Oryctolagus cuniculus: one gene and its partner. The protein of the gene in region 2 interacts with the protein of the main gene of each other region in a pairwise test. Links are inferred from orthologs where the notes say so. Each region holds a gene or a part of one and is shown on either strand. Other genes may lie near its edges.

The links. The genes of interacting proteins can lie anywhere in the genome.
Region 1: the proteins of MELTF (region 2) and HPGDS interact in binary tests that used the Homo sapiens proteins (3 or more experiments, as listed by UniProt). The two-hybrid records come from large-scale screens. The link is inferred for Oryctolagus cuniculus from reciprocal best matches to the Homo sapiens genes MELTF and HPGDS.

What each region holds. Positions count from the first base shown.
Region 1 is NC_091439.1:71,161,382-71,165,033, reverse strand, and holds part of HPGDS (hematopoietic prostaglandin D synthase), read right to left. Parts: intron 3,109-3,652; 5' UTR 3,100-3,108; coding exon 2,967-3,099; intron 1-2,966. UniProt on the Homo sapiens protein: Bifunctional enzyme which catalyzes both the conversion of PGH2 to PGD2, a prostaglandin involved in smooth muscle contraction/relaxation and a potent inhibitor of platelet aggregation, and the conjugation of glutathione with a wide range of aryl halides and organic isothiocyanates.
Region 2 is NC_091435.1:83,488,564-83,492,215, forward strand, and holds part of MELTF (melanotransferrin), read right to left. Parts: intron 3,121-3,652; coding exon of another isoform or gene 2,964-3,120; intron 2,880-2,963; coding exon of another isoform or gene 2,812-2,879; intron 1,218-2,811; coding exon 1,030-1,217; intron 1-1,029. UniProt on the Homo sapiens protein: Involved in iron cellular uptake. Seems to be internalized and then recycled back to the cell membrane. Binds a single atom of iron per subunit. Could also bind zinc.

The sequences.
Region 1 (3,652 bases), on a different chromosome or scaffold from region 2:
TAGACTTCCTTTGAATATTTATTATCGTATTGTGTCTTCAGACATGCCTGTTGTCCCAGAATCCTCTGGTGCATCCTATCCTGAGAGTAATGTCCACATTTTTCCCAGGGAGGGGGAAGGAGCTGGTGGTCCTACTGCTTTCTCACATTCTTCCAGTCAATCCTCTATTAGCTCAGCTTTTAAAGCTGCCTGTTGCTGCTGCTCCCTGAGCCTTTTTCAGGAACTCAGAATGATTCTGCTTGCCTTTTCCTCCTCCAGGCTTCTTTTTTGGCCTTTACGAACCTACTGTCTCCTTAGCATTCTTTTACTGGCTTTCTAGCTTCCAGATTTTTCTGCTCTCCTATTCAAGTTGATGTTTTTGTCCTTATGGTGTTTTGTCTTTTTTCCAAAATATTTTCCTATTATTAAAGCAGAGAGAAAATGTAAAACAAATGTGATCAGTTTGGCAGGTTTGGCCAGAAAGAACTTTTTAGTAGAATTATTCAATTATGGAAAGGGTTGACCAAAGATTGAGTTAATTCCAGGTTCTAGCAAAGGGGATATTGTAGAGGGTTTCAAACACCAGAGAGCACTGCTAAACTGGATGGGAGATAAGAACAAATAAAATTTGTAATAGAAACTGCATCTCTGTACCTATTTTAACCTTTCTTCTCAAAGTAATAAAACCCTGGAGTTTTAGCTGGACAAGGTGTTATTCACAATAAAGTCAACATTTCCCTGCTTCCCTCACAGTAACATGTCACCAATGTGTGACTAAGTTCTTACATGCCAAGGGAATGTAATGGAAGTTCTATGTAACTATCTGGTCAAGCTGTGAAAAGAAAGGGTATGCCTCCTCCCTTTTTCATACTTCCAAAGAGCCCAAATGTGGAAAGAGAGTGAACTATCTTACACTCTGTAAATAAGACAGCCATGGGTGGCAGATAAACAAGAGCAAGCCTAGTCTTTGACAATCTCATGGAGAAAAATCACTATTTCTATTTGAGTTTTTATGTCTATGAAGTTTCTATCTTCTTGAAGACAACGCAGTGGTAGGTCTCTGGCTCATAAATGATTTGAAATTAATATCTTAATCATCATGAATTTTATAAAGATATTAAGAAAATGTGAAAACTACATTTTCAATAACAGAAACAAGTCAAGACAGACTAGGGGATGAGGCTCTAAAAGAAAAATGAAAATTTTAAAAGCTTAAATACAGAATTTGGTGTGTGTACTATCCTTGCACTATGCTATTCATCTTGACCTAATCATTTCATGGACAAAATGAAATTCACCTATGATACAACTTTTATCTTAAAATCATATGCACATAGAATGACAATTGCTTTAAGCAGTACTCTGACCTCAGAATCAGCCCTTAAGGCATTCTGGTCTGGCTGAAAAGCCCATGAGAGCATTTCAGGCATGGAAAGCCAAGACACTATGGCAAAAAATATTCTACAGGAAGGATCTCTGTGAGTGAGATCCCAGTGGAAAGAAGTGGTCATCAAAGAAGGAGGTACCTTTCTCTGAAGGGAGGAGGGAACTTCTACTTTGCTTATGACCTTGTCTAAATACCGATGGAATTTGTGGATTCAAAAGGCTTCCATAGCCTAGGCAGCTCATATCAAGAGCCTCAGATGATCATTGACATCATACATAAGAGTATTAATTGTTAAATTAACAGCAGGAGTCACTATGCACTAACTTCCCATGCAAGACCTTTGTCCTCAAAGAGTTGTATTATGAGAGTTAACAGTAAAATTTGTTCTCAAAGATTTATTTTGTTTTAATGTATTAAGTGGAGGATATTCTTGTCTCATAAGTTTTAGTTATGCCTAAATTATAAACTCCACTGCTTGTTTTCTTAGGTGCTTCCTTAATTAATTATAAAACTTGTTCTCAAGGACTTGCTTTCTTCTAATATATTAAATGAAGAACATTCTTATATCTTATAAGGTATAGTTATGTCTAAGTGCTCCCAAAAGATGTAACATTCTTGGGTGTTTCTTTAAAGTAAATTAAGTTTCTCAAAAAAAAAAAAAAAGTGAAATTAACTTCGAGTTGCAATGACTTTGAACAGCCCTTGTCTTGCCTGTTGAGGAACAGTTTTGTTTCGCTTTCTGTGCAAATTGTTGAACTCTTTTCTTAGCGTAGAGTTGATCTTCTGTGTGTAAAGTTAATTGAAAATGGATCTTAGTGGAGAATGGGATTGGGAGTCGGGGGAGTGGGAGTGTGGGAGTGTGGGTGAGAGGGTGAGTATGGTGAGAAGAATCACTGCATTCCTAAAGTTTTACTTATGAAATGCATGAAGTTTGTTTTCCTTAAATAAAAGATTTCTTTTGGGAAAAATAAAAAAAAATCTAGTAATAAAAAAACCCCAATATCAGGAAAAACATTTGCAGATTAATGGTAAAGTCTCATGAGAACAGGAAGTAAGATATTCTATCCTATCAGACAGAAACATCTCTGCTTAAAAAGAAGGGGGTGGTCATTATAAAGACAACGTCTTTTACAGAAGGCATGCTTCCAAAAGACATGTGGGGATGTATTGCTAAATTACCAATTGTCACTTATCATTATTGTTGGCATTTTCTCATGCAAAAATACTTGGGGGAGAGAATTAAACTGATGCAGGTTTGAATCAGCTCAACCTGTTAGGGATGGAAACTGGAAAAATTACTCAGAGTCTGTGCACTTCAGTAATCGCAACTATAAAATATACAACGGTGCATCTCATGTCTGATTCAGTTCTTCTGGCAAGGCTCTCTGTTTATTTTTGTAGTTGCTGTCTGTGAGGCTTGTGTTTTCATCACTAATAGGAAATCTGCTGAGTCATAGTGTACCGATTTAGCTTGCCTGAATGACGGCTTCACAATTTAAAGCCACAGGAGATGAAAACATCTTTATTTGTTCATTTTCTTGACGAAGGACTAAAGGTTCTCAAAGCACGTTTTCCCTACGTTTTCATTTGTGCTACTTACTTGATTTGATTTCAGGCCAGTCAGCTTGCTCTATTCTGCGGTCTTCATACTTTATGTTCAAATAAGCAAATATGTACCGGATGATTTCTGCTCTCCCCCTCATATTAAAATAAGTGAGTTTGTAGTTGGGCATGATGAGATTCTGGAAGGAGAGGAGAGGAGGGGTTACTTTAACGGTCCACAAGGGATGTCTCGATAATTTTCTTCGGGGACATGTCTGAAAGCTTCACAGCGTCTTTTGAGATAGTCAGAGACGGGAGAACATTGCAAAACCAAGATCATAAATGACTATCTAATATGTGGAAACTTGGAGCCAGCATTGTGTTGCAGAAAGTTAAGCTACCCTCTGCTCACGATGCCAGTATTGGCTATCACAGTGCAGGTCAAGCCTCAGCTGCTCCACTTCCAATCCAGGTCCCAGCTAAAACACCTGGAATGTGGCCAAAGTCCTTGGGCCCCTGCCACCTATGTGGGAGACCTGCATAGAATTCCAGGCTTCAGGCTTCAGGTTTCAGCCAGGCATTGCCAAGTCCTTGTGGCTATCTGGGAAGTAAACCAGCAGATGGAAGATCTTTCTTTCTCTCTCTCTCTCTCTCTCTCTCTCTCTCTCTCTCACACACACACACACCCCACCTGGGGATTTCTGTTGGGATAGGACAATGACAAGCTTCTTCCTTCACCTCTCT
Region 2 (3,652 bases):
TGGACCTGACAGGTGAGCTGTCTGGTGGAAGTAGGGTGTCAGGCAGGCAGTTGTTAAGTGCGCAAGCTTGGGATCCGACCAGGGCTGAGGATGCACAGGCAGGCCCTTCTGTGAACACAAGGTATTTGATGGCATGGGACTGGGTGGGGTCAGCAAGGGAGTAGGTGTACACAGAGAGGAGGCTTGGGGCTGGAGCCTGGCTGCTCCAGCATGCACAGGGAGGTGAGCAGGGAGAAGCCAAAGGGACCTGAAAGCAGTGGCCAGAGAGGTGGGGGAGGCAGGGGCAGAGTGCTTCCGTTGGGAGGAGGCCAAAACTGCTGGGAGAATGGAGGGACGACCACTGCACCTAGCAAACTGCATTGCTGTGACCTTGTGAAGGGCCCGCCCACCGCGAGACCAGGAGAGGAGATGACGGACGAGCCGACTGCGCTCACTCTGCAAGGGAGTGGAATTATGGCTACAGGAGGATGAGAAACTGAGAGGAATAGTTCATTTTTTAAAAGTTTGTAAAAATAACAGTTTTGGGCTGGCACTGTGGCACAGTGGGTAAAGCGCCACCTGCAGTGCCGGCATCCTATATGGGTGCTGGTTTGATTCCGGGCTTCTCCACTTCCGATCCAGCTCCTTGCTATGGCCTGGGAAGGCAGCACAGGATGGCGCAAGTCCTTGGGGCTCTGCGTCCATGTGAAGGACCTGGAAGAAGCTTTTGGCTTCTGGCTTTGGATTGGCCCATCTCCAGCCATTGCAGCCATTTGGGGAGTGAACTGGCGGATGGAAGATCTCTCTCTGTCTCTCTCTCCCCTTCTCCCCCGCCTCCGCCTCTGTAACTCTGCCTTTCAAATAAATCTTTATAAATAATTACCCACCTGTTTATATATTGGTGAGAATGATGCAGTTGAAAAGGAAAAATGAATGATGTAGGGGATGGGGTGAGGGTTGCTGGAGGGACATCCCAAAGTGACAATCACAGAGTTTCCCCCAGGCTGCTCTGAGGGCCCTGGCTCCCCTGTGCCCCCGGGGCTGGCTCACCTGGGCCTTGTCCAGCAGTCCGTAAACGGTGAAGATGTTGGTGTCGGGCCGCACCATGACGGCGTGGGACGGAATCTGGGCCAGGTTGCAGGCGGCAAACTGGTGCGCCTCTGCTCGCGCGCCGTTGGGGCACAGCAGCTCGTAGTCCTGGCTCCTCAGATGGGCAGCCCACGGCTCGGGATTGTGGCCTGAGAGGACGGAGCCGGGCGGTGTTCAGGGTTGCTGCGCTCCCGACCCTGGCTCCCTCTGCTCGGGTCCCCAGCGTGCTCTGTTGTCCCGGCACCTGCTTCTTAGCAGCACAGGGAAGCCAGCCCTGCTGTGTTGTGAGCGAGGGCTGCCATGGGCAGGGCGCGGGGCGCTCCTACTGAGTGACATGCGCTTTACAACACTGCCCGACCCTCCTGGCCGTGGCGCGGGGCAGGACCCATAGCCCCCCAGGTGAGGGAACGGAGGCTGTTATTTAGCCCCGGGCAGAGTCCCATCTGTGTGTTATACCCTTGGGCCTGACCTTCTCAAACTGGAGGGGGCAGCACACCACATGAGGGCCTTAGGGGCCGTTTCTCTGCTTGTCGGGTAGGTCTCCGTGGTGCCCAGGAATCTGCATTCTGAACCAGGTGATGCTGGGGCAGGCGGCTGGTCCCTGTGCTATCTTGTGCTTCACTCAGTACCCACCCTCCTCTCCCAGAGGAGCTCCAGGTGGGTCCCCAGTAGAGCCCACGATGATAGGGAAGCGAGCCTGCGGGCAGTGGGTGCCTCACCGCAGGTGAATCTCCTAAGGGGCTTCTCCGGCTCTACCCTTCTCTTCTCGGGACCACCTGGCTGGGGTCCAGCACGAGGTGGGACTGGTGGCTTCGGCAGGAGTATGCAGAGCCCCTGACCTGGCCCTGGCTGGTCTTTGTGGGAGCTTGGGTAGTGGAGTGGCAACTTGGGTAGTGGAAGGCTTCGGGCCTGGAGGTGCCAGCCCAGCCCACCACCTGCGTGACCTGAGGCAGAGGGCATCTGAGTCTTCCAGTACTGGCTTTTCCTGCATAGCTGGCTTCCCCCATCACTGTGGGCCACACCTGTGCCCTTCTGGGCTGTGCCTCTGGGAAGGGGGGTTGGGATGGAGTGGGGAAGGCTGGGGTTTCACAGCCTGGGGTGCAGGCAGGAGGTAGAAGCACCAGGTGCTGGGACCAGCAGCGTCCTGTCCCCGGGCCAAGGGGGTCCTCTGGCTGAGGGGCGGGGACACCCTCCGGGAAGCCCAGCTCTGGCTGGACCTCAGGGCTTGCAGCACAGCATCTCCAGGCTCTTTTCCCCAGCGGAAGCACCACCTGCAGAACAGAACGCTCCGGGGGTGGGCCCTGCCTCCGTGTGGTTGGGGCCGCACAGTGACGTTCCTGCGTGCGACAGTGAACCGCTCCGGACCTGACACCAGTTGCTGATGTGCACCCGTGCCCGAGGCCTTGCTGCATCCCCACTCAGACACACCTTGTCCCCCCTGATTCATCTGGGGCAGGCGGGAGTTTCCAAATGCAGTGAGCCTGAGTGTTTACCCTTTCAGTGGGTTAGGGACTGGAATCCTGGACCAGCAACGGCCTCCGTGCGTCCTGCACACCAGGCCTGTGGCTGGAGGTCTGTTCTGACCGTGTCTCCCGCTCCGCTCCTCCAGGTCCCCAGGATGCCCCCAGGCAGGGCCTTCTTGACTCAGTTTCTCCAGCTGCCACGTGGGCCCCAAACTTAGGGAATCCAGGTGCCTGGATAGTGCTGGGGGTGGGGTGTGGCCCCCTGACCCGGTTCACATACCATTTGTGTTGTCAAAGATGGTCGTGTGCTTGACGAAGGCCACGTCCCCTGCACCCTCCACCAGGCACCTGCCGCACACGGGGCAGGGTGGGAGTCAGGAGGGAGCCACCTCTGAGCAGACCCCGGCCCCAGGCCCCCTGGTGGCCCAGTACCTGAAGGCGCCACTGTCGCCATAGTACCGCTCCTGGCTGTTGCCAGTGCACTTGTTGCGGCCCTGCTCGTCACCCACGCAGAGTGCGCACAGCGAGGAGGGGTACTTCTTGGGGTTGTTCACCGGCACACAGCTGGCGTTGAAGAACTGACCCACCGCTGGGGAAGGGGTGAGATGGGGGTGAGCAACTGGGCTCTGGAGTCCCCACTCTCACCCCCGCTTGGCCTGGCCCTGGGGCTCCAGGCCACCCCTCTGCCCTGCCTTCCATGGGGTTCCCCTGGGAGGGGGTGCGTCCCCCTGGGAAGGGCACAGGAGCAGACAGGAGGCAGAGGTTGTCTCTATAGCCTGGGGGAAGAACTGTGGTCAGCCAGCCTGTGCTTGAGTTCCCTTGGGAACAGGGAGCTCACCACCTCATAAGCTATTGTTGCTGTCCCTGCAACCCCAGGGGCTGGCTGAGAAAAGACTTTTCATTTCTTCTGAGTTACCAGTGGGGGACAGAAGGGCGTGGTCCCTCCTGAGCACATGGGTCTTGCCTGTTGCCCACCGCCTTCCCCTGCCACGAGGATTGCATGAACACACGGATGGGGCTTTCCTTCTGTCCCCAACCTAGCGCTCATGGGGACGCTTGGACTTGGGTGGGCGCCCAGCTGCTTTCCAACAAGGCATCCAGGCACTGCCGGGGGCTGGGGA